3 linked regions of the Oryzias latipes genome follow. The protein of the gene in region 1 interacts with the protein of each later gene in a biochemical or structural test. Links are inferred from orthologs where the notes say so. Each region holds a gene or a part of one and is shown in the gene's direction. Other genes may lie near its edges.

Evidence for each region. The genes of interacting proteins can lie anywhere in the genome.
Region 2: the proteins of cdk2 (region 1) and cyclin-dependent kinase inhibitor 1-like form a complex in vitro, tested with the Homo sapiens proteins (9 studies listed by BioGRID and IntAct, with this or other methods). The link is inferred for Oryzias latipes from reciprocal best matches to the Homo sapiens genes CDK2 and CDKN1A.
Region 3: of the proteins of cdk2 (region 1) and rbl1, one has a biochemical effect on the other in vitro, tested with the Homo sapiens proteins (5 studies listed by BioGRID, with this or other methods). The link is inferred for Oryzias latipes from reciprocal best matches to the Homo sapiens genes CDK2 and RBL1.

What each region holds. Positions count from the first base shown.
Region 1 is NC_019863.2:27,090,076-27,102,073, reverse strand, and holds cdk2 (cyclin-dependent kinase 2), read left to right. Parts: upstream 1-5,482; 5' UTR 5,483-5,801; coding exon 5,802-5,917; intron 5,918-6,501; coding exon 6,502-6,579; intron 6,580-6,676; coding exon 6,677-6,797; intron 6,798-6,874; coding exon 6,875-7,045; intron 7,046-7,305; coding exon 7,306-7,407; intron 7,408-7,487; coding exon 7,488-7,691; intron 7,692-8,915; coding exon 8,916-9,020; 3' UTR 9,021-9,601; downstream 9,602-11,998. Other genes in the region: olfml3 (olfactomedin-like protein 3), read right to left, coding at 11,268-11,998. UniProt on the Homo sapiens protein: Serine/threonine-protein kinase involved in the control of the cell cycle; essential for meiosis, but dispensable for mitosis. Phosphorylates CABLES1, CTNNB1, CDK2AP2, ERCC6, NBN, USP37, p53/TP53, NPM1, CDK7, RB1, BRCA2, MYC, NPAT, EZH2.
Region 2 is NC_019863.2:2,304,899-2,311,613, reverse strand, and holds cyclin-dependent kinase inhibitor 1-like, read left to right. Parts: upstream 1-1,355; 5' UTR 1,356-1,359; coding exon of another isoform or gene 1,360-1,368; coding exon 1,369-1,783; intron 1,784-2,235; coding exon 2,236-2,291; 3' UTR 2,292-2,336; downstream 2,337-6,715. Other genes in the region: tmcc2 (transmembrane and coiled-coil domains protein 2), read left to right, coding at 6,077-6,079. UniProt on the Homo sapiens protein: Plays an important role in controlling cell cycle progression and DNA damage-induced G2 arrest. Involved in p53/TP53 mediated inhibition of cellular proliferation in response to DNA damage.
Region 3 is NC_019863.2:32,783,014-32,791,028, reverse strand, and holds the start of rbl1 (retinoblastoma-like protein 1), read left to right. Parts: upstream 1-1,336; 5' UTR 1,337-1,446; coding exon 1,447-1,608; intron 1,609-3,171; coding exon 3,172-3,305; intron 3,306-3,431; coding exon 3,432-3,635; intron 3,636-4,018; coding exon 4,019-4,083; intron 4,084-4,303; coding exon 4,304-4,432; intron 4,433-4,683; coding exon 4,684-4,847; intron 4,848-4,947; coding exon 4,948-5,012; intron 5,013-5,087; coding exon 5,088-5,244; intron 5,245-5,778; coding exon 5,779-5,945; intron 5,946-6,035; coding exon 6,036-6,148; intron 6,149-6,236; coding exon 6,237-6,340; intron 6,341-6,405; coding exon 6,406-6,543; intron 6,544-6,654; coding exon 6,655-6,819; intron 6,820-7,146; coding exon 7,147-7,279; intron 7,280-7,351; coding exon 7,352-7,585; intron 7,586-7,682; coding exon 7,683-7,873; intron 7,874-7,945; coding exon 7,946-8,015. UniProt on the Homo sapiens protein: Key regulator of entry into cell division. Directly involved in heterochromatin formation by maintaining overall chromatin structure and, in particular, that of constitutive heterochromatin by stabilizing histone methylation.

The sequences.
Region 1 (11,998 bases):
GTAGTACCTCCTATTACTTTAAACTACTCCTAGGGATTTTGATCAATCGCCACCTAACTCCTCGAAAATTATTTGGATGCTAGTTGGAAAAAAACATGTTGGAGTTAGACGTTTTTGAATGGCGTTTACGCTGCCAAGCTTGAAAAAAATGGCGTTCCCCTGTTGCTCGTACATTTTTTACCAGAATATTGTGAAAATTGTTGGCTCAAGCTGAATGAAACAATATGACATCCAATACGAATATATTAGGGATGTGGGAGTGGCTAACAGAAAACCTCTGTTGCCACGGAAATCCAAAAATTTACTTTTGCCGAATCTTCAAAAAATTACTTAGACCTGTTCCTCACCCTCAGGCAACCCAAAATTATAATGGTTGCTATGGAGATTTAACCAACAGAAAAGTTGCCATTTTGAAAAAAAGTTGTGTTTTTCTTAAAGGAATTTATCCTGTGGAGCTCTGTAACCAGGGTGGCAGAGGCAGACGAGGAGAGGCAGCCACTAAACAAAATGGGCTAATGGGGGAGTAGCAAAGGCAGAGTGGGTAGCGCTTGCGGGCCATACAATGGCGTTCGCAGCTTTGATTTTAAATTTAGTTCATTTTGTGCAATGAAGTGATTTACATTTTTATGAATCCAATGAAACCCAATGAGATGCTATTTTTCAAATGTCATTGTGTAAAAAGCTAAATATCCAGTCAAGATATCAGATCACGTAAATGTGACAGAAACAAATATGAATGAAAAAACTGAATTTTAGAAACTTCACTTAAATATTGCAAAACACAATAAATAATCATTGCACAATATAAATGAAAGTGTTATGCAAAAAAGCACAGAATAGTGAGTAAAGCTGAGCATGAGCTCTGACCTTACAGCTATGTGTGCATGGGTATCACAAGATTAGTGTGTGGACACGCATTCAATAGCATCCTTTTATTTCCTCCGTCATTCCTCCGTATCCCGATGTTCACCTCGGGCGGCTGCAGCTCAGACAATCTGAAGGGAAGGAGACTCACACCCATGCTTACATTGGCCTCAGGCAATCAACTTCTGATTCAGAGGAAGTAAAGTCTGTGGTTAAAAAACGAAAACTTTATTTTAAAAAAAAACTTTCAATGTCTGTTTAATATAAAAAATATATATTATTTGGACAGGTTAGCGAAAATAATTAATGTTAATCTGTTATGCAGTCCCATCAGGTGAGAATCTGCGTCTAATGAAACATACAGGACAAATCTTCGGTGTCGGTCATAATTATGGCTTTTCTATTTCATTTGGCCAAAAAATAAAAAAATAAAAATCCATGTGTATTTTGTAAAGCCTAAAAATAGAAGCAACCTTTCAGATATTTGTTTTAAAATAATTTAAGTTTGTGGCTTTGCTTCTATACCGTACTACATTGAACTAACACAAATCAGTAAACTGTGAGTAAACCGCTCACTTTTTTTAAATTGAGGGTTAATTCAGGTTAAAACAATGGTTGCAACAAAGTGATTAATATTATTTTATTTTTATGTGAATCTCAGCAAAAGACCACAAGAATATGTAAATGTTTTTTTTAGAAAGAAATGTACCCAGTGAAGAATTAGCTGACTTAAAGAATCCAGAAGATTTAACTTAACAAAACTATTTCCATAAAAAAAGTGGACACCTGCATACTTAGCCTAAATACTTAATTTATATATAATTAATATTCAGAAAGTAACTCCATTCCTGCAGATAAGGACAGCATCATGATCAATGAAACCCAGTTGGGTAATATTTTAAAGTCTAAACTGGATGAAATCAACAGTTTTTATTAATAAATAATACATGTCCATTTTTTAAAACATTCCCAGTAGTGTTTTAATTCTGATTATGAAGTTTTTAACCAAAATCCCACAACCTAAATGTCTTCAAAAGCAACATTTCATGATTAAAAAATCTGAACTCTGACAACTCAACTTTGAGAATGTGACGTTTTCAGTGACGGCGGGCAGAATACACACCCAATAGCTGAGTATTTGAGGGACCCAATATGGTTACTTCTCCTAAACTTAACTTTATGACTGATGTACTTTTATCTAGCGACAACTTAATTATAATTTCCTGTTTTTAGCGACTGAATGATGCACTTTTTATGTATTATTTATTATTTCTGTTGTTGTCATTTTTAGCATGGCAAATTGGTTCAATATATGAATGTTGCACTGACCAAATACCACTTTTAAGATATCATTGTACCAGTGAGAATGACAATAAAGAACTATCTAGCTATAAACTGGGACAAACACTTGACAACAGGTAAATACAAACCTGCTGTTCTTTTCTTTTTCAAGAAAAAATTAAGTCATCTTAGCTTTATTTAAATATTAAAATTAGTGAAAAAGATTTTGATCTAATCTGTTGTTTTGTAAAGATCTGTTTATTATTATTATTTTTTTGCATTTTCTCCTTAAATCTACTTGATTCCATTTGAAAAAAACAGATACTGACGCCCTTGTCTTTGGTGAAAGGACATTTCTGGGCTCTCTTATCACAGGGACTGGTGATTTTCCCACTGATGTAGTCCTGTGCATGTGAGGCTGCACTGCATGTGACCCCTCATGTGCTCACAAACCCAGTTCAGGAGGAAACAAATCCTCACTAAAGTGCACTTGATTTAACATACCACAAATACTCAGCTATTACACTCTTTCTTAAACAGTTTACCTCTTTTCTAACAAGCAATCGTCCAGTATTATGAGACTTTTCACTGATATGTTGAATAAATCAGAATAATGTTGGGGAACAGATGAAATAACAGCGATTCATAAGACTGTACATTCTATGGAGATCAAAGGCAAAAGCAGAGTTGGGTCAGAAATGTTTGCATCAAATCACGTCTGACCAAAGTGAGGAACAGTTTCATCCCTATGCAGCCCCAATAACTACCGTTATGCTGAGTGAGGCAGCAAACGACCAGACCCACCAAGGCTGGAAACTGAACAGTACTGGGAGAAAGAGACAGCACATAACAGCAATGCCCAAGGGCTGGTCCCTTTAAGAAGGGAACATAGCAACCTGCCTGAACTGAATCAAGTAACCATCACAGTGGCAAAAATCCAAGAAAGAGTCTCAAATACGAAGAACTAGACAGCACTGGGCCTTGACATGATACATGTCTACTGCCTAAAGAAACTCCATGAGCGCCAGGGAGGACAAATGAACCGGCCGCTAAGAGATGGGATTCACCCCGAATGGCTAACGGAAGGGCAAACGATCCTGATCCAGAAGGGTCCCTCAAAGGGTGCAGTACCATCCAAATACCAGCCAATAACCTGTCTCTCCACAACATGGAAGCTCTCTCTTTCTCTCTCTCACTATGTATATATATATATATATATATATATATATATATATATATATATATATATATATATATATATATATATATATACATACATACACATACACACATACACACACACACTATATATATGGTTTAACCTATATTTTGGTTTGCATCTTTGTTAATCTTATTTTTTATTGCTTGAAGTAAAATGTTCAGATTTATGATAAATCTTAACAAGAAAATTCTGTCACCGGATTATCAGCAGTGCTCATCTGTCATTCCTGCGACAACTTTCCATGAACTGGGAGGTCTATAAATTAACTTCCCACAGTTAACACAACATGATGATGCAGAATAATTTTCCAACAAACCACTGAATGCACTTCAGAGCAAACACTAAAGGCAGTTTATTACTTTTTTATACAATAGAAGCAGCCTTCTAGTTATACCCAAATATGTCGCTTTGCACATAAATCTGATGGGGGGGGGGGGGGGGGTATTTCAGGCCTGTGGGCTTCAATCATGTGGATTATTGGTATGAATGCTTGTTATGTTCCACCAAACTCTGAGGATGTTTCAACATAAAGAGGGGGGGAAAAAACAGCTGACCTATAGATATTAGGGCTATATGTTTGATATGAAGGACCCAAGCCAAACAGACAAAGGACAGAATGCTTGTTCTGTTCTGTCTTTCTGGATCCAAATGATAGATAATTTATGCTGAACTGTTGACGTCTTTGTGATATCACTGCACTGAATGGTATAACGGGAGCAGTGTATGCGTGTTGTGTATACACAGTTCTGAAAAATAAATGAAAAATAAAAAATACATAAATTCCAGTGTTTCATCTGAATTAGAACCACGTTACTGCAGAGGGCTACTTATGTAATTCAATAATTTATACCAACATAAAAGTGATTACTTGACAATGATATTTCAATTTCGATCTCTTCAAATACATATATATATATATATATTTATATATATATATATTACAATGAATACAAATAGAAAAGTTGAACAAAGGAAAAACTTTTTTTTCTTTTTGTTAGTGTAAAATTTGGTTTACAAAAGTAGAAAATTAATAATATTTTCTAACATACTTTTCTTATCCTGTGGCAAAGATAGTCCATTGGAGTCTATACTTTAAGTTTACTTTTTATACACTATATATTGAAGACATAAAATGTAATAATTTATTCTGAGAAGTATTCTGTTAGTATACTTCCTGTACTGCATGTACATGGAGTATAGTAGGCGTACATTTGCTGTAATTATACTTAGGTATACTTAAGAAGTAAACTTTAGGTGTACAAGTGTACTACTTTTTTGCCAAAAAGTTGTCAGGAGTGGTTATAATCTTTTGGGATTTCAGTTTTATCTCACTAACAAAAAACAGTGTGAATGTGTTTGACAAGGAAATGCTGCACTAACAAAGAAACTAATAAAACACTTAAAAAGGTTTTGTCTCAATTGAAACTTTGAAGTCTTTTTATTTTTATTTTGACTGTTTATGCTTTTTTTAAAAAACTTTTATGTATTATTACTTTTGTTGATTCATTTATTGAATTATGTGTTTATTTTTTTTATTTTGTTTATTTTATTATTATTTATTTCATTTTATTATTATTATTATTATTATTTTTTTGTTATTCAACCTCATGGCAACTTCAATAATTTGCACTTGGTGTGAAATTCTGTATGTGCAATGTTTGTCAATAAAGTTATTAAAATTAAAAAAAAATAATCTCCGTCTTTGATTTTTGTTTTTTAACTGATGGTTAAATTGGAATATAAATGCATTTATGAAAATGTATACATTGATAAAAAAAAATGTTCCAAAAATACACATTATTTGTGGGCGTTAAACTTTTTTCCCTTCATATTTAACCGCTTTTACGTAGCTTTCTGGTTCCTTTACGCCGTAGACCATGTGACCAAAGAGTGCGGCTTGTTTATTATTCCGTTATACGCCGGAAGACGAGGAACTCATTTCTCCAATTACACCAGTTCGCAATAAAATCATTGGATTAAATACAATAAACATAGCGGTCTACCTTCACCAGTGCCATATATCAGGACTGACTTTAATTACTGCTAAATTCAAGAAAAGGGAAAATAATAAATTGCTTCTGCTCTGAACGGTACGGTGTGTCTCGAGCACAAAAACGAACGCCCGCAACACAACGCGGGAAACGCCGTTGTGTTGTTTTCCACCGCGGAGCAACCACCGGGCTAATCCTCAATTTAGGGGTTAGTGTTACTACCTGACAGATGTTCACCTGTCCGTTTTTGTGTGCCGCTCTCTGACCGGAGAGAGTTTGTCCTCGAACGGGACCCCTTGGTTTGGTTGTAGCCTGGACCGCATGACGAAACCCGGAGAAGCGGGTAATTGTAGGTCGGTCCCCGCGCTGCTTAATGCTTGTAGCCTCCGAGAAGACGTTAGCTCCGAAACAAAGAAAGAGGTCCGGTCCGATTCTGGTGGGAAATGGATACGTTTCAGAAAGTGGAAAAGATCGGAGAAGGGACGTATGGAGTGGTTTACAAAGCTAAAAACAAACTGACCGGAGAAACGGTTGCGCTGAAGAAAATCCGACTGGATACGTAAGTGAAAAGTTCTTCTTCCTGCTGGTTGAAACCTCTGAGAAGCGTTTGTTGTGATTCAGATTATCTCAAATGCTTAATTCCAGTCCCCTCATGAAACAGTTTCATTAATTACAGAAAAGACAAAACATTTTAAATTCACTCTATGTACAAAGACCTAAAAAATAAAAGTAAATAATAATACAAAGTTGAAACAAAACTGACATGTTACAAAATAAAAGCATTCAGCTCTTGTTTGGTTGGTTTCACTGTCAAATTAAACCTACTCAGTTACATTTAAAATCTATTCACCATCTGTTTTATTCATCTCTATTTGCCTTTGGGGGTAATGGAACACTAAACACAATTAGTCAATAAATTGATCAAAAGTGATGATTACAAATTCATGTGCATTTGTCCATAAAGTTTTGGAAAAGCATCATAAACACAACAAATTGCTTTAATTTAAAATGATTCTTAATCAAAATGAATTATTGTGCAATAACTAGGAAAATTGTATTCAATTTATCAATGGGACAAAGGAAGCATTTAACTTCATAAAACAATCTCCGCTGATCCTTAAATTTGTGATTTCTTTAATCCAGAGAAACAGAGGGCGTACCAAGCACAGCGATTCGAGAAATTTCACTTCTTAAAGAACTCAGTCATCCAAATATTGTCAAGTAAGTGTTTAACCATGCAGAAATATGTTTATTTTGTTCAAAAGAATCCCATTTTGTGTGATTTTATGTTTTAAACCAACTTTTTTTTTTTGTCCAGGTTGCAGGATGTGATTCACACAGAAAACAAACTCTATCTGGTTTTTGAGTTCCTCCATCAGGACCTCAAAAAATTCATGGACTCTTCCTCTGTGACTGGCATCCCGCTGGCTTTGGTGAAGGTGAGCGTCCTCTTTAAAGAGAAGATCCTGAAACTGTCCAGACCTGATTCCTTGTTCTTACTGTCTTGTGTTTCTAGAGTTATCTCTTCCAGTTGCTGCAAGGCCTGGCTTTCTGCCACTCTCACAGAGTTCTTCATCGGGACCTGAAGCCCCAAAACCTCCTCATCAACGCCCAGGGTGAGATCAAACTGGCAGACTTCGGTCTGGCGAGAGCTTTTGGAGTGCCGGTCCGCACCTACACTCATGAGGTACAGTGTGCTCCTCCCTTTCTTCATCTGTAACAAGGTACGAATCGATCTGATAACAGCTGATTTTGTTTTTCTAATGTGGTTCAGGGATTTTTAGTGCTGGATAGTGAGAAAATGTTTATTTTAAAGGATAAAATCCCAAAATATGTATTTTCTTAGCTTTGCTCTTTCAAAATCTGATTCAGACCTTTTCTTGTCTTGTATCAGGTTCACATAATAAAACATTAGAGTCGTTCTTGATTCTTTGTGGTATCTTTCAGGTGGTAACACTTTGGTACAGAGCCCCAGAAATCCTCCTCGGCTGCAAATACTACTCCACAGCTGTCGATGTCTGGAGTTTGGGGTGCATCTTCGCTGAAATGGTAACGCGCTCGACCCCAAGACCAACTTCAATAAAGAATTAGGAGCACGCTGATAATAAACTGATGGTCTGTGTTCACAGATCACCAGGAGGGCTTTGTTTCCCGGAGACTCTGAGATCGATCAGTTATTCAGGATCTTTCGCACGCTGGGCACACCTGACGAAACGGCGTGGCCCGGAGTCACATCCATGCCCGACTACAAGCCCTCCTTCCCCAAATGGGCTCGTCAGGATTTATCCAAAGTGGTTCCGCTTCTAGACGAAGATGGAAGAGAGTTGCTCGGAGTGAGATTTTCTTCTGATTGCTACATGTTTTACTCTTTTCCTGTTAAATATCTGCAAACGCGTTAATTAAGAGTAATTGTTTTTATGTGTAGAGTTTAGAAAGGATGACAAATTCTCTTATGCAAATTATAACTTTTTCTGTCTACTGAAAAAAAAAAAACAATATTTTAAACGCAGCTCAGAAATATTGACTTGAAAAAACCTTTTCAAATTTTTTGTTTGCCTTTCTAGGATGGTGCCCTTTCAGCTTTTTTTCCTACTTTCCATTTTTCTCTAATAATTTATCTTTAAAATAGTTTTTGTGGTAATGCTTGACATTTGTTTTTTAGTACAACCGCGGCTTCTCTCTGTCTCTCTTTTTTTTTAGCAGAATATTTTTAATTATATCCCAATAATTTCACAATGAAACTTTACAAAAACTCAATTTCAGGTTTTAAATTTACTAATTTGTATTACCGGTAACTAAAAAAATTTGAGAACAAACAGTTTTTATGTTTTATTACAACGATCCAAAGGCGTACAAAATAAATGAAAAAATAAATACAAAAGTAAGGTAAAGATGATATTAAAACAGTGCAAAAAACGTGTGAAAATAACAAACAAAACAAAAACACACAGACCCCCCACTCAACTTGTAGGATTTATTTCAAGAGTTATCACATAACTTGCGGTCGGTGTCATTAGTACAGTTAACAACCAATGTGATGGGTTAACCCACGGGTGACTAAGCCTTACCACCAACGTACCTGGTGTGAAAAATTGACCCTTTTTAAAAAATATGACAAATAATATGATTTCTTCCAGGCTTCTTCTTCCATTATAAATGTCACATTTGTCAGGTCTCCTTTGAAAAAGAGGTTCCTGGTAAAATAAAGGTTAAATTAAATTTAAAAAAAGCAATTCTCCAAACTCGTTTGATCACTGCACACTTGGTGTATCTCAACCTCTGACCTGGTGCTTGTAAAATAACTGTCATGTAAGAAGGACCTTAAATTTGTCTCGACTTTACTGCCAGGCATGAAAAAAAATTCTTTTATATAAATATAAACTGCTTATTGCTGTTAAATTGATGATAAAGTTGTTTTTGGTCCTGAAAAGGTTGAATTGTTTGGCGTTGATGTTCATTATATTTGATAAGCTTGTCTTGTAAAGAATTGATTCATGTATAAAGTGTTTAAGATCACTACTTCAAAGCATGAAAAAACATTATTTCTTTCTCTCCAGGAAATGCTGAAATATGACCCAAACAAAAGGCTTTCTGCAAAAAATGCACTTGTACATCGCTTTTTCCGAGACGTGACCATGCCCGTGCCTAACCTCCGACTGTGAGGCATATCTGCACGCCACGCCGGAATTAAGTCTGAGCAATAAAGGCCGCCTTGCTCCACCACTTACCCGTCTGAAATGGAAGTTAGACGATGCAGGAGACGGTGGATTATTGAGTAACGTGTTGCTGTTATTTAATCTGCATTGTTGTAATCTATGTGGGGGTTCAACTGTAATTTTCATGATTCGTTCTTGACTACGTACATGTAGCTGGATCGGGATTCAGGATTCATTTGGTAAAAGCTGTTGCTCTACATCTCTAAATTCCAATCCCATCTTGTGTTAAGGATGTTCAAGTTTTCTGTTGGGCAGAGTTAAAAATGACTGAACAAAGTGGGGGGGGGGGGGGGGGGGGATGCAAATAACTAAGGTGTTTTGAACACCCGAACACAGAAATGAGCTTCTGAAGGATCCTGGATCGCTCCCCAAACTCAAGTTCCGATGTACAAACATTCTGTTATTTGAATTTTTATGAAACTGAATGCTTGTGGATCTTAAGTGAGATTTTATCAGTGCCTAAATAGCATTTTTATAGATATTGTTTATATGCAGTTTGGAAAAAAAATAAACTGGTTTAAGTAAAAGTTTCTGGTGAAATGTGTTTTCTGTGGAAACGTTTAATTTTTTTATTATGAGAAGACTCTGCAGAATCTTACCCTTTGAATTTGCAGCCAAACATGACATTATAAAAAAAACAGTATCACTGTAAACAGATTAGTTCTTCCTAAACCTTGAAGAATCACACAAGAATAAAGAAAGACCAGTAAAGCACAAACAGAAATGGAATTAATGCTGCTGTTCTTTATTCACTAAAATAAGACATTTAGACAGGAAGTGTGTGGTTGCTAGCCTGCTAGCAGTTTTTGCACAAAACATGAGATTCTTTATTCATTTTATTTTAACTTAATAAAAAAGCAGAATTTTAAAAAACTACACTTTTAATACGCATCCGTTAAAAATGATATATGTACAATCTTTGACTTCAAAATGTGTGTAATGTTCATTAGATCACTTAATTCTGAATGAACATGTTATAAATACATGTAAATGTTTGTTACATGCCTGAAAACAGCTGTAGAAATAATTCAAAAAGTATCATTAAAAATGTGTAATTTGGAGTAGAAATAAACATGTTTTGTTGTCTGAGCAAAGTCGGAAAGACCTTTTGTTTTGAACAAAAACTTATTGAAAGGACAAAATACAACTAAATACATTTAGTTTTTAAAATATGGTCTTCTGATTTAGCCATTTGACTGGAATCATAGATTTTATTTCTGTTCCATGCATGCCATGCTCCTGCAACATCTTGGTCATTCAGCCTCTGGATGCATTTTGGGGGGGGTCTTTTTATTGGCATTCTCTTGGATTCAAAGGCCGGTTTGCACAACCACATGCATATATGTGGAAAAAGTGAAAAAAGTTGTGGACTTTACCTGAAGGTCTTTATCAAAAATGAACAGCGTTGAAACACGGAAGAAGAACGAATAAATCACGCAAAGAACACGTAAATCAAGGACGAACAAGAACCGTGCGTGATTATTGCGCTGTTAAATGCAATTCATTAGTGATTCGTGCGTCAATTATGTAATTTGAACGTGATATCTGTGTTGTATACGCAACATAAAAGTTATTCGTCGGTGGTACAAGTGTGAAATGGCCACTAATTTGGGTATGCATCTAGCAAAAATTATGCACAACTGTGCAAGATTCATGCAATAGTTGTGCATAAACTACGTCAAATACGGATAAATGGCATAATTCTCAACTGACCAAAAGTTTTAAACAGCTCAAAACTGAATTCACGTCAAGACCCGTCGGTCGAAACCCTCGACAGACATCTGTTTGCATCGACAAATGAGGAATAAAAGAAACACTTATGAATTACATATAAAAGGAAGAACAACCTTTTTTTTGTTGCACGCGTCAGAGAAATGACAGTTCTTGCTCCCCAAGAAAGCTGAATGTAACTTCAGTGACATTTATGGCGTGAAAAAAACATCTTGGAGGAGCCGAAACTGGCAACACATGGAATTGTAAATATTCAGTCATTCTATTCTCTTGCTTTATGACACAGGAAAAAAAAATCCAACATTCACTACAGAGTATGAAAAAACATACAGAGAATTCACAGAGGTTTTTGTAAATGAGAAAAATTCCAGAAAAGACCTGGAAACATCAACAATTCTGATGTCAGAAATAGTCAGCAGATTGAAAAACTGTCAAGACTCCGACACGGTTCAATTCGATGCCTCAAATTTCCAGTTTCTTTTTCATGGCCAGCTTATAGAGGATCTGGTAGCCGTCATCCCAGGCGTAGAGCAGCTGCTCCTGCGGGTTGTACTTCAGACTGGAGTGGGAGCCGTACCGCTTTGGAAAGTAAATCAGAGGGGCCTCCTCTGCGGTCACCATGTCATTGACGTCAAACACGCACTGCACCCGTGAACGCCCCGGCTGCATGGTGTTGTACACCACGTAGAGGGTGCCGCATATAACAAAAGCCGCCTCTGCGTTCTCTCTTGGACAGCTTGTGTCCCACATTTGCTCGACGCCCAGAGAGTTGGCGTCCATTTTAGCTAAAGAGATGTGCTTCTCGTTCTGGCGCGTGGCATAGATGGCCCACAGGCCTTCTTCATCCACAGCCAGGTCCATCAGGGTCTCGGAGGTCAGGCCGTACACGGGAACATGGTCCTGCAGCGGAAACACTGCACTGTCTGTCACAGAGTTATTTCTCGCGTCAAATTTGACCACCGTTATCTCCTCCGCCTGGCTTACATAATACACTTGGTTGTTGTGGACCACGTGTCCTGTTCCACTCCAGGGACTCGGGAGCTTCAGGTCAGAGGACAGAGAAAAGCCCTGGGAGAGCGTTAGGTCTTGCACAGAGGCAAACACGTTGACAGTGTCCTCAGCTGTCCCGTTGAAGATGTAGACTTTCTTGGAAGCCCCGCTGGTGTCTCTGGTCCACATTCCCTTTGGACCAC
Region 2 (6,715 bases), about 25 Mb from region 1:
AAATCAACCTATTTCACATTTTCACAAATCAGAGGAAGGTTTCACAAATCAGAAACTGTGTTTAATGTATTCTTCAGTATCTAAATCATAATTTAATCCAGGTTTGAGCAGTCTAGGTCCAGCAGTTTTTGAACCGGACCCCATCTAAGGAGATCTTAGTGCAAAAAAAACAGTGGAATGCTCCTTTAGTGCACTCGCGAATCGGAAGCTGTGAATCGGATGCTAACTTCAGCGTCGTTGATCCAACATTCTGGTTATATGAATTAAAAAAGTTTCCTGGTAACTTATTAAATCAAAAAAAAGTTTTCCAGAAGTCCTATCTAGGGTGTTTTGATGCGCGCGCGCGTCCTCCGCGTGAGTACGGCGGTGACAGCCCCGTTTGAATGGGGGACACGTGCTCCAGGTTCACGTGGAGCCTCGTAGTAACCGAACGGGGCTGGTCCAAACCCGGATTCATACTCTCCCGCCATGGCCTGAACGCCCGCCCCGATGGGAGTCGGCCGCGCCCCCAGTGACCCCGCCCCGAAGAGACAACAGAAGCTTTATGTCGGTCTATGACGTCATGAAAAGTCTGGGTTACTCTGCTAGATCACCGTTCCAGCCTCAATGGAAGAATCAAAACATTCAAAAATAAGATATTTAATGTCAATATCCATCAGTCTGAGCTTTAAGAACAGCGGGATTATAATGTGGAGAAACCTAAATATTAATTTAAACATTATCACTAAAGAACTGGAAATAGTTTTAAACCAGATAAAGGAAAATATTCATATTTTTGGTATAAATTGTTTTCTAAAGTGTTTTTTAAAACAAAAAAAAAACAGGAACAACCATTTTTAATTTATGTATTATAATAAAATCATATCTAACAAGCTGCTGGGGGTTTGTTTGCTGTCTATCCTCATTTTCTGCTCTCTTTAAAAAAAAAACAACAAGCTTTACTGTGGACTATTTTGTCCTCCTGGATAACCAGCCTGGCCTGGGATGGACTTCCTTTTTTCCTAAAAAGGAAAATGTCCTGTTCAGGGTGATGCGGTCTGTCATGCAGACTGAGGTGGAAGGACACCTCTGGTGGTGGATCTGTCATTGCCACTCTGCCCCCTAGTGGCGGCTCTGTGTTGTCGGCCTGTCAGATTATGTCCAGGCATGTACCGATGATTCAGCCTCTCCTAAGAGGGAGGGAGGAGAGGAGAGGCACAGCTCTGCTTTTCTCTGATGGTCTGTAGAGTGAACAGTCATGGTGAGCTCGGAACTTTTTACACTTTGGGTTTTTCTTTGACTCTTTTACTGCTTTACATGATCCATCTCATCATCATATGACATCTGAGATCTAACCAGGAGTGTTCTGTGTTCAAACAGTGCAGAACCATGGCTGCTCCAAAGCGGATTCCCGCCGCTCCCAGGAGGCCCGCGAGGCGAAACCTGTTTGGCCCGGTGGACCGGGAGCAGCTTCAGCTGGAGTACCAGGCCGCCCTGCGGAAAGACCTGGACGAAGCGTCCCTTCGCTGGGGCTTCGACTTCCGCTCCGACAAGCCCCTGGAGGGCAGCCACTTCCTGTGGGAGAGCGTCCCGGGGGCCGGAGTGCCGCTGCTGTACCGCTGTCAGGATGCTGGACGGGTCCAGAAGACGGCGGAGACCAGGACCCCCCCCAAGAGACGAAGATCTGAGCTGCCGCAGAGGGAGAAGGAGAACATCCCACTGACAGAGAACATCTTCAACGTGGAGAAAACACCAGAGAAGGAGGAGAAGGCCGGGATGAAGAGGAAACAGACAAACATCACAGGTGCTTTCATTTGTTTTGAATCGTGTTCTTATGACGCTTTATTGACGATGGAGGACATTTATAAAGAAAAGCTTAGTATTTAATTGTTCAAAGCAGATAAAAAATGTTAGAAAAAGAGAGTATCTGCATTCATTTACAGACAAATAGGTCCAAAAAACTTTTTTAGTCCCTCGTCTGAGCTAGAAGAGTAATGTGAGGGGCTGTAAGCCAGCTAGAGAGGGTACAAATAGATGGATAATGGGAGGTAGGGGCGGGGTTACTCTGAGCTAATGCCCCGCCCACATCTCAGAGGTGACGACAAGATTATTTCATTTTGGCTAAAAAAGGCATAATCGTAATCAAAAGACGACAGGGAAGGCTTTTCTCAAAATATGATGGGAGTGGAACGTTCAGCTGCGTCTGTGTCGTTGCACCGATTCCCCCTGAGCTCAGTGTCGCTTTCATCCCTGCAGATTTCTACCAAGCTAAACGACGAATGGTCTGGATGCCGCGGAAATCGGGCGAGTGACGGAGGAGCGCACACGCCACGCCCCACTCAGAAGCCACGCCCTCCGCAGGAGTCCGTACCTGTGAACTCGGGAGGGGTTCAGCTACATTTCACTGCTCAGTTAATTAGGCTACTGTATGTGGGGGGGGATCGGTGCCTTTCCCTGGGCTAAGAAGGGGACATTTGAGCAGAGAAGATTAACGGTAATCCACGGAATCAGTGGATTTATCCTCATTTGGATCAAGCGGTTGCCAAAGTGATGACAGACATTTTCGCCGCTGTACATTCCACATCTCGGCTCCCACCCACAGGAGAGGAGGAAGATGTACAGCATGTGTTAAAATCACAATGTCCCCCCTTTTTTTATGCTGAAGTGAAGAGTTTTATATGAACTATTGGGAAAAAGAGATTCAACGTCTCCAAGTCTAGAGACGCTCTGCTTCCATCACGAACCACAAACCTGCATTTCCCTTCATGTCCTGTCTCTTATTCGTCAAATTCATCTGCTGCTCTGTCCTGACGTGTGAATGGCTCTGGATTATGAATGTTCAGTGTGTAGCAATTTATCTCTTTGGAGCATTAACCCCTTGTGCTATGTTGTTGGGTCAAAATGACCCCACCCTTACATTGACGTGTTATCCCTACCATGAGAAATGTAGATAAAGGTGGAGAGGATTTCATGTAAACATTGAAAAAAAAGGTTCAGCTCACTGTCTTGTGGGGTCCAGATGACCCCACTTCCAACTGGGGTCACCTGGACCCCACAAGACGGTGAGCTGTACAAGCCAATATGTCTAGTAGGGTCCAGATGACCCCACTCCCAACGTTAACGTGCTCCCAAGGCATGTTAACGTTGGGAGTGGGGTCATCTGGACCCTACTAGATAGCACAAGGGTTATAGATATATATTCAGCATATATCAGATGTATTTGAGTAGTATAAATCTAAAAACATTGCAGTATTGCACAGAAGTTGTACTTGTAGGTATTTTAAGGTGCGTAAAGGACGATCAGGAACAGTATTTTCAGGTCCAAATGTATTCGTGAGGAAGGTTTTTCCATCAGGAGCAAAGGTGTCATGGATGGAACTACTGCTCTCCGCTTGTAAACGACATATCTGTCCAGCAAATCCTGCTGCTCCGCCTAATCTGGATGAGAGTCATGTAAGGTCACTTTAATCATGTATGAACTGACGGCTTCGAAAAGAGCAAACCTGCCCCAATGCACTTCTGCTGATGCTTCTGGTCATGCGATCACTTTTCAGCTCCTCAGGAGTCGACTCTTATTTATTGTGTTATTCATCGTGTTTGTGTGGATCCGTGATAAATCTGAAATAAAAGGCTGATGGTTTTTCTGGATCCTAACTCAATCCAAGGAGAGGAAGAGGTGATGAAGCGCTGAAGGAGTTTTATCTGTGTTTTTCTACACACACCTTTATTTTCTTCAACACAATTGTTGGGTTATTCGTGCTGGGAGTTGAGGTAATAAACAACACGGCAGGAGTGGGTTGATGATCTCAAAGCAGCTGTGACCACAGTCACCAAGAAAACCATTGGTGATACTTCTTGCTGCAATCCTGATTATAGTTAAACAAGTAAAAGAAAGAGACAAAGAGCAGAGAGGAGGCGTAAAAACAGTGAATGGAGATCCGTCCTCGCCCCCTCCAGCAGATCAACTGCAGCCTTCTCTCTGTTGGCTTTACTTTGCATTTTATGGCAATCTGCTTTAGTGTTATATGTCTGTTCTGGAGGAAATTCCCAATATGTTCTGCAGGTACAATAGAGGACAATCTGTCATCTGTAGATTTATTTGAACAGTGAGAGATAGAAAATCACAAAGCACATCAAACAAACGTATATACATTTATTTAGATTTCATCAAGGGACTCCAGTGTTTGATCCCCTAGCAACCATTAAGAGTTCTGGTTCACACAGACCAGTTAGACTCTCCTCTTCAACCTGTCACCTGAATTGAAGACGCCTGTAGAAAAGACACCTGTCCAGAGTCCATCAGACATGGAAAAGACTAAAGAGTTTTCATTGGATCTAAGGGAGAAGATTGTAGAACTGATGGACAACAAAACCATCAGCAAGAAGCTGGGGGTTACCATGACAATTGTTGGTGCAATTCTGCCAAAACACAAGAACATAATCATCAGTGGACCTTTAGGTCTGGGGCTCCAAACCAGATCTGTCCTGGTGGAAACGGTTTCCATGATCATGAGAACAGAGAGAAATTGGCCTAAAACAACACGGCAGGAGTGGGCTGATGATCTGAAAGCAGCTGTGACCACAGTCACCAAGAAAACCATTGGTGATACTTTATGCTGCAATGGTTTGACATCTAGTAGAGAGTGCTAAGTCCCCCTGCTGAGGAAGGCAGATGTGCCGGCCCACCTGAAGTGTGTCAGGGAACACCTTAATGACTGGACAGTGATTGGAAGAAGGTGCTGTGGTCAGATTAGACCAAACAACGAGCTCTTTGGCATCTACCGACTCAAGCCGTCTTGTTTGGAGGAAGAGAAATGCTGCCTTTGACCCCAAGAACACCATCCCCACTGTCAAGCATGGAGGTGGAAGCATTATGCTGTGGGGAGCTTTTTCTGCACAGGGCAACTTCCCCGTGTGGATGGGAGGATGTGCTTACCTCCAAATGTGTGGTGGATGGGTGGCTCTTAACAGGACCTTGACCCAAAACATACAGCCAAGACAACCAAGGCTGAAGAAGCAGATCGTGGTCATGGAGCGGTCCAGCCAGTCTCTGGACCTCAGTCCTGTAGAAAACCTGTGGAGAGAACTGAAGCTCAGCTTTGCCAAGCAACAGCCACCAAATCGGAATGATTTAGAAGACATTTGAATCGGTTAGTTCAAAAGGGGCCCAAGTCCACAATTTTTCAAAATAGACAACAAGACCGGCAACACTTCTTTCCTCCACTGTAGGTCTTCAGTTTTTGGTTTGTTGCTGGGCAGCAGATTTTTCTGGAGCCTCCCTGACAGCTTCAGCGCTTCTCCCACGCTCCTCTGCTGCACCTGAAAGAGGAGGAACCTGAGCTTCTCTGGACCGGAGCTGCTTTTGAAGGTGTTGATGAAAGCTTGCTTTCATGTGCGCTCAGCCTCCATCCTCCTGCACACATGCACACACACACACACACACACCCACACACACACACACACACACACACACACACACACACTGACATCTTCAGAGGACACTCCAACAAGTTCTCAGTGGTGGCGCCTCCTCCTTCATCTTCTGTGATGAGCACACAAGAAAAGGGAGGTGGTCACTGTGTGTGTGTGTGTGTGTGTTGGCATCAGTCACACAGGCTGTTTGCACTCAAGGTGCAGGCCTGGAGCCACCCTCCCTCCCTCCCTCTGCTGAGCCTCCCCCCACCTCCTTCTGTCCATTCCCTCCATCATCTGTCCTGCTGCTCCCTCATCCATTACAGGGCAGAACTGCTCCCATTTGCGCAGACAGAGAGATGCGGAGGGAGAGCGGGGCGGAGGGTGAAGCAGAGGGAGGCGGCAGGAGGAGGAGGAGGGGGGGGTGGTCGTACGACACAAAGGAGAGGGAGGAAAACAGACGAGCGCAGAGGGAGCAGGCTGTGGATGCTGATGTCGTTAACGATGGAGCGTTAGAATCCGGAGCGGTGATGGCGCGCGCGATAGCTGCTGGGAGCAGACTCATTTGAGGAGGGGGGCTGCTCCTTGGTGTGCAAAGAGGGAGGAGGGAGAGAGGAGGAGGAGGAGGAGGATGGGCCTCGAACAGACACTTGCAATGTCGCTGCAAAAATTGGATTAAAGCAGTATGGTAACGTTTCTGATTGAATATTTTGTTGTCGTCGCTGTGCTGCGTGTGTGTCGTCCTCGTGCGTCCACATCCACGCGTGTTGACATCCATCTCTCGTGTCACAGTGTGTCTCCAGGAAGCCACAGACAGACCACGTCCTGTTGTTTTCTGCCATCTCCATCTTCATCTCAGCTCGGCTCTCCTCCGCCGCGCCGTCCGTGTGCTTTTACACTACAAACTTCAGGCATGTTATGACACCCACCCCCCACCCCCCAGCTCTGTGTTTGGTATCTGGGCCAATGCTGACACCCCCCCCCCCCCCTACTGTCCCATGCTGCAAGCCTCATCTTAGCTTCTCACTTTCCCTCCCAAGATCAGGACGGGACTAATCTGCGCGCGCGGCGCTCATCTGGAATCTGCCCCGACACCATTCTAACCCGCTTTGAAGAGCCAACGCGCGCGTGCTCGCTCCTCTCACACAGGCGCGCAGCTCCAGCGCAAAAATAGACGTGTCGGTGTCATGCGTCCGCTGGCGCGCTCCAGCTCTGAGGCGTCAGATTGCGGTGTGTTGGCTTCAGGCGGGGGAGTCAAACCAGACCCCCCCCCCCCCCCCCATGCAGCTGCACCCAGCATTCAGAGCAGGGAATCCCCCACATG
Region 3 (8,015 bases), about 5.7 Mb from region 1:
TTCTTGTTACTCTGTTTTTGTAACATTTTGCTAATTAAATGTTCAATAACTTGTTTGTTATGATGAATTATATTTAACTGTCTAAAGCAGCCAGACCATGTAGGAAAAATCCCAGAAACTAAATGTCCCCATTCGTTTTTAGTCCATCGTTTTATGCTGTTTAAATTTGTATTTCCACTTGAACAAAATATCTAGGTTTGAGCTATAAATGCTTAAATTGTGATTTTTGAATGTTTCTTTTTATTATTACTTTTCCAGAGGTTTTTACTTTACCTTTATTCTACCAGGTAGTCCTATTGAGACAAGATCTTTTTTTCAAGGGAGTCTTGGTCCAGAGGCACATTTCAATACAAAAAAATACATAAAAACAAACATCATTAAAACCACATACATCATGAGAAGCAGTTGCACATTATTGTTTCAGTCTCTGATGCTTTGAGCTTGTTCTTAAAAACATTTAAAGATACCAGTTCAGTTAGTTTCCAGTCTTTCTGCAGCATTTTCCAAGCAGGAGGAGCAGAGTGGACTAAGGCTTTTTCCCAGCTCTGTGCAGCAAATGGAACAGAAACAACCGTCTAAGGATCAGAGGAGTGAGATTCCACACTTCTCCTTGTGATTAAGGAACAAATGTAGGGAGGGAGTAATAACCAATAGTAACTACCAATAATAATAACCAATAATAATTACCAATAATAATTACTAATAATAATAACCAATAATAATTACCAATAATAATTACTAATAATAATAACCAATAATAATAACCGATAATAATAACCAATAATAATTAACAATAATAATAACCAATAATAATTACTAATAATAATAACCAATAATAATTACCAATAATAATTACTAATAATAATAACCAATAATAATAACCGATAATAATAACCAATAATAATTAACAATAATAATAACCAATAATAATAACCGATAAAAATAACAAATAATAATGACCAATTGTAGTAACCAATAATAACAACCAGTAGTAAGAACCAATAATAATAACCAATAATAATAACCGATAATAATAACCAATAATAATTAACAATAATAATAACCAATAATAATAACCGATAATAATAACCAATAATAATTAACAATAATAATAACCAGTAATAATAACCGATAATGATAACTAATGTCCCTGCCTCCTAGTGGCCAGAGAAGTTTTTGCCTTCAATGTGTTCGTGCTTTTGTTTTTTATAAAGTTTTAGAAAAAAAAGTTGACATCCGGTACATAAGAAAGGGGGAGAGGGGGGCGTAGGTTTCTCGCCTCTGATTGGTCAGAAGGGTAAAGTTTTCGCGCCACCGCACTGCATGCTGGGAGCTGTTAGCGGAAGCGACGGGAACCGTGTTGTTGTGGTGAGAGCTCGGCTCCGCCGTTGTTTGGTTCTGTGGGTCGGATTCGAGCTGCGCGGACGGGCAGCGCTGGTTCTGTGGATGAGAGGGGAGGAGTCTTCGGATTCTGAGTCGGGGAGGATGGAGGAGAGTTCGGTCCGGAGGAGTTTGGAGGTGCTGTGTCAGGAGCTCAACATGGACGAGCAGACAGCCAGTGAGGCCATGGACAACTTCACCTCCATATGGAACACATACACTCTGGAGGTAAACGACTGGCTTCGGTTCGGTTCGGTTCGGGGGGGGGTTAGAGTCTCCCGGGGGCGCTGTAGACTGACCCGCTATGAGCCAACGAGCGCTTCTGCTCTGCGACCTCCGGTCATGATATACATTAATACATGATGCTGTGACGTGAGTTTTCCTGAAGCTTACCGGAGATTTTTGTGTTTACACACAGAAACACTGAAATGAGGCTTATTTGTGAGACTGAGTTAAAACATCCAGGTGTTGATTTGAGTCATAGGATTGTTGTTTACGTCCGTTGTTGAATCAACGTCACAGCGAGATGCTGCAGGTGACGGGAAGAGGAGCCTCGTCTTTAGGTTTACCTGGTAACTAATGGCAATAAATAGATGGCAATAAACGGAAGGTGTATTTATTATCTACAACATGGAGGTGGATGCACTGAATTTTTAAATATGAAGTCCTTATTTTTTTAGCAAAAACTAAGAAAATATTAGCAAGAAAACAGTATTTGAGGGGCGTAAAGAGAATTATAAATTCCTACTGATTGAACAGGGCAGTGAACACAGCACGACTCACCTGCATAAAGGAGGATTTGTAATCAAAGGCGTCTAATATCTGGATTTTTGATTTGATGTGGCTTTAAAAGGGACTCTGTTCATTTATCTGTTGCTGTCTAGAAAAGTGACCCAAAGAACAGAAACGTCCAAAACTTTACTAGATTTGTTTTAGCTCTTTGATTAATATACAGTAATAATAATCACACATTTTATTTAGATGGCGCCTTTCTGAGCACTCAAGGTTGCTGTACATCATATGTACTTATATAAAATATAATAAACAGTTAAAACAGCAATTTAAATAAATACAAATAATAAAAATATTTAAAAACAGGAAAAGGTTACAGTGAATGGGCCATTTGGAGGAAATGAGTTTAGTTGTTTTTATTTGATGATTTTTTATGGATTTGTTTGATCTCAGGGTTGAGATGGTGGATTTGTTCTGTGCGCTCCTGCTGCTGTTTAACACGATGGCGTTGAAGATGGAGATGCCTGAAATTCTTCACATGATTCAATGTTTCTTTAAATGTAGAAAAATGACGTCACTCTGGTGAATAAATTCAGCATTTTTGTAGCATATTTGGTTCCAAACGGATCCAAATGTTGTACATTTAGTTGTAATAACTGGATTTTATGTTGATGCGTTATTTTAACTAGACGAGTGAACGTTAGGAAATCGTTTATCTCTGTTGTTGTCTCCATAAAACAGCTGTTACACCTCATTATGAATTCATATGGTTAAAGATGTAAAGTCTATTTTGAGCAAAATGAAAAGAATGAAATAAAACGCAGTATTTTACTGAAATGTGACTGAATGCTGAACGTGTTCATGTTTCATCTACTAGCTGTTCCTGAGGGTTTAGCACAGGGTTTTGTTCAGAAGAACCTGAACCTTTACCAATCATTTCATTCACGCACCAATGGAGGCACAGCTGCCATGCCAGACGCTAACAGGCCCAAGGGCACTCGGGCACCGGTGGGTGGGCAGAGCTGGACGATGCAGAAATGTGCCGTTGTGTTCCTGCAGGGGGAGGTGGTCCACTGGCTGGCCTGTTCTCTGTACGCCGCCTGCAGGAAGGGGTCCACCCCCACTGTGGGGAAGGGGCTGATGGAGGGCAACTGTGTGTCCCTGACCCGGATCCTGCGCTGCTCCAAGCTCAGGTCAGGTTCTGCTCTGCAGCTTCTGCTGGATTTTACAGCCAGTCCCGGTCAAACGGGATCCGCCTGTGCAACTTTGGGATTTGCGTCTTCATGTTTGGTCCCGTTTGTTGTCGGCCCCCCTCCCAGCCTGATCCAGTTCTTCTCTAAGATGAGGAAGTGGGCCGACATGTCAAACCTGTCACAAGACTTCCGGCTGAGGATGGACCGGCTGGAGCGAAACTTTGAGGTGTCCACCGTGATCTTCCGCAAGTTCGAGCCCATCTTCATGGACATGTTCCAGAACCCACAGGGCAGCGAGCCCCCCCGGCAGCCCCGCAGCAGGAAGCACAGGTGGGACGCCGGCGCGCCTCAGGCATGACGGTGTATACTATATACATGTCCACAGTATACTATATATACACACATACACACATGGTGCATTGCGTCTTGTTGGAATATCTTGAGTTCAAATAAAACCCGAGCAAAGGTTTTGACAAAAACAAATACATTTTAGGCTTTTGTCTTGATGTTTCATCCTTTTTACTGATCTGAGACATGATCCAAACCGTGAGTGTTGGGATCCGTTGCAGCTCCATCTCTACTGCAGACACAGCTTGAACTCTGACCTCCACGTCAGAGACGCTGCTGCATGTTTGCACCGACAGCAGCTTTCAGCAGATGTGGAGTTTTCCGGAATGTTCTGGGCTTTAGGATCTGCTCCTGTGTGTCTGCAGACGGCTGCCCTGTCACATCAGTGATGTCTTCAAGTTCTGCTGGACCCTCTTTGTCTACACCAAAGGTACCGAGAAACAAGCCGGACGACCTTCCTGAACCCTCTGGGTTTGCTTGAGCTGTAGAAAACATCCAGAGCTGAAGGAAGAGATGTGGCGAACGCCATTTAGGGACAAACGCAGAAAGTATTTCTGTGTTTGCAGGTTGAAATCCATAGTTTGTCCTCAGACGCTGGAATGTACTGGTTGCAGATGTTTATGCACAGACTTCAATGTCTTTTTTTCCAGGAAACTTCCGAATGATCGGCGATGACCTGGTGAACTCGTACCACCTGCTGCTCTGCTGTCTGGACTTGGTGTTTGGAAACGCTCTGCTGTGTGCAAACAGGAAGGACCTCATCAACCCGACCTTCAGAGGTCGGTCCGCTCCGCTTCTGCCACCTTTTCTGTTCACATGCAAACACGCATAAACTCCCCCCAACACACACACACACATGATCACGTTGATGGGAGTGATGTGCGTTGGAGAAAGCAGCTCCATGGAAGCCACGGCGGGCTTCAAACCACCGTTCCTCGCTGTGCGGCTTCATGGCCTCACGGGGAAGCGGGGGCCTTCAGGGGGTTGCACCAGCAACCGTCAAACTCTTCCCGTGTTTGGGTCTCCTCAGGTCTGCCCCCCCAGTACCGCGCAGACTGCCACGTGGTGCCTGACGAGCCCCCTCCCTGCGTGCTGGAGAGGTTGTGTGAGCTCCACGATGGGCTGGTGGTGGAAGCCAAAGGCATCAGGCAGCACTACTTCAGACCGTACATCCAGAAGCTCTTCCAGAGACAGGTGTGCACCCTGTCTCCTCACCTGTGGCCCCCCCAGTCTTTCCATTACATCCTTGGATTGCACAACTTCTGATGCTTCCGTTTTCTTTGCATCCTTTCAGATCTTGAGGGGAAACCAGGAGCTGCTGACGGAAATGCTGGACCCTCAGAACTTCATAGATAACAAGTACGGACGCTCTGGATTCTGACGCGGTTCTTCCGCCGGCGGCTCCTCACCGCTGCGTTCTGCCCGTTTCCACAGCAAAGCCGTCAACAGGGAGTATGAGGAGTACGTGCTGACGGTGGGGGACTTCGATGAGCGCGTCTTCCTGGGAGCCGACGCAGACGAGGAAATCGGAACGCCGAGGAAGGTCCTTCCAGATCGCTCTGCCGGTCAGATGCAGCAACACAGGGAGAAGGTGCGTCCTCGCAAACGCCGCCAAGTCGTCGCCAAAGTCGCTTTGACGTGGTCGTCCTGTGAGGAAGGGGCTCGCACCGCACCCACGAGGAAGACTAGAAACTCCTGTCCTGTCTCAAATCCATCATGGGTCAAACCCGCCATATGGCGGCCTGTGGTCAGACGCAGAACCAGGCGGGTTTGACCCCTCTGCTCCACCACGCCGTGAAAACGTCCAAACGGTTGATGGGGTCAGGACAGCAGAGAAATGCGCCGTTCCCCTCTGCTGCTGCTGCTCATCCTTTGTGTAGCTTTGCTTTCATTTTCCCAACAAACGTCAAATCATGAAGCTGCTCCACCATTTCCCGCCTCGGTGCTGGAAGCAGGCCATTCGGCAGACCTTCAGGAGGTTTGACCTCCAGTTACCTCTGGAGGAAATACCAGCGCCAGCGTTTCTATGACGATGAAGTCCAGCCTCTGACTGCAGCAGCATGTTTGTGTCTGTCGGAGCGGGGCTCTGCAGACCACCTGATGGACCTTCTTTCATTCTCTGCAGCCCGCCTCCCTCGCTCCATCCACCCCGCTGACGGGGCGGGGCTACCTGAAGGAGAAGGACCTGCTCGTCACTCCCGTCTCCTCGGCGACGCAGAGCGTCAGCCGGCTGCAGAGCATGGTGGCGGGTTTGAGGACGGCCCCCAGCGAAAACCTGATGCAGATCTTCAGGTGGGTGTTTGTCTTGGCACGCGCTGCTGAGAGGAAGTTCATATGAAAAATTTCTCCGTTTGTGTCCCGGTTCCTCCGTTTGCCCTGCAGAACCTGCTCCAGGGATCCCACTGGTTCCGTTCTGGCCCGAGTGAAGACTCTGGGTCAGACCTTCAAGGAACATTACACCAACGACTCGGAGGACACCCCGGGTTCTCACATAGGTATCCGGTTCTGCTCAGAAGCTGCCTCAGCTTCATCCGTTCAGGTTTAGTCCGGGAAGAGTGACGATGTTCGTCGCGTTTGCTTCAGACTTTGCAGAGAACCGCCTGAAGCTGGCTGAGATCCTCTACTACAAGGTTCTGGAGAACGTTCTGGTGCAGGAGACCAAGCGGCTGCAGGGCAGAGACATGAGCGTAAGTGGCGCGGCGCCGGATGGCGGGAAACGCGGCGGCCTGATCTGACAGTGCTGTGACTGCAGGCTCTGCTGGAGCAGGACATCTTTCACTGCTCGCTGATGGCGTGCTGCCTGGAGGTGGTGCTGTTCTCCTACAGCTCGCAGAGGACGTTCCCGTGGATCATCGACGTCTTCAAACTGGCCCCGTTTTACTTCTTTAAGGTAGAGACGCTGCTCCGCTGGAGATCTTTTAGATCCACTTGGGTTTTCCTCTGCTGAACCATGAGTCAGCTGGTTTAAGGAGAACGGCGGTCTCTGGGGCTGTGTGTGCAGGTGATCGAGGTGTTCATCCGCTCTGAGGAGGGCCTGTCCAGAGACATGGTGAAGCACCTGAACTCCATTGAGGAGCAGGTTCTGGAGAGCAGAGCGTGGACCGAAGATTCTGCGCTGTGGAGCGCCCTGAAGGCTGCAGGGAACGAAGTTCCCTCCGTGGAGGAGGTCAGTGTGACGGTGCTGACCAAGGTGAAGGTCATTGAAGGTCATTTAGGGTCTGTCAGGTTTACTGAGGTCTACATGTGAAGCCTGCTTTCATCTTCCTGCTCTCCAGAGTTTGTCTCAGCAATTCTGCTGAGTCATGAAAAGGTCTGGATTATTGTAGACCTTCATGTGGACAAAATAAAAACTTTGGATTGTTTTATTTTGTCTGCGTGAAGATTATGAACTTCAAACATCTGACGGTTAGAGCAGAGGATTCTGGGAATCCAGGTTTTTCTTTAAGTCACCTGACGACACACCTGGCAGCAGTCTCCTCGTCTCCTCCAACAGGTCAACTTCTCCTCCTGTCTGGACTCGGGTTCCTCTAACGGCATTCAGCCTCACCTGCCGCTGGCGGCCCACTCCCCCATCATCCACCCCCGCATCCGGGAGTTCAGGGCCGGTTTGGGGAGCGCGCGGAAAGGTGGGTGTCTGCTCCACGTCTGTGCAGGATGCTGCGGTTCAAGCACCGACTTTGCTTCCTCTGCCCTTTCAGAGGTGCCCCCCTCTCCGCTGTCGGTTCACGACAGGTACAGCTCCCCGGCGGCCGGGAGCGCCAAGCGGCGTCTCTTTGGCGACGACCCTCCGGCTCCGTCTGTGGGCCTGACCTCCCCCGCGGGGCCGCTGCCCTCCCCAGCCAAGAAACTGACCTTCAGCTCAAGCGGCAGCACAACGCTCAAGATCGGTGGCCAAGGAGCTCAGACGACGGTCGTGAGTCTCCCACTGCAAGGTGATCATTTCTCACCTGGACACTGAATGGGAGGAAAGTGGGAGGAGTCTGAGGCATGAGAGCAGCCCGAGCTGAAGGTGTGACGTTCAACCCGCAGGCATGAGCACCGACCGCACCTTCACCCTCATCCCCGTGTCTTCCTGCGATTCCTCCGGAGTGGTGACCGCCCAGTTCCTGCTGACGTCGTCCCCGAGCCGACCCGCCGCCGCTGTTGCCATGACGACCGAGCCGTACACGGGAAGCGGCCGGCCGCGGCGCACGGGATCGCTCGCCCTGTTCTTCAGGAAGGTGAGGAACCCACCAGTTCTCTGTTCACGTTCAGCCCAGAGGATCTGCTGCAGAACGGCGTGGTGTCTGCAGGTGTACCACCTGGCCAGCGTGCGGCTCAGGGACCTGTGCATGAAGCTGGACGTCTCCTCGGAGCTGCGGG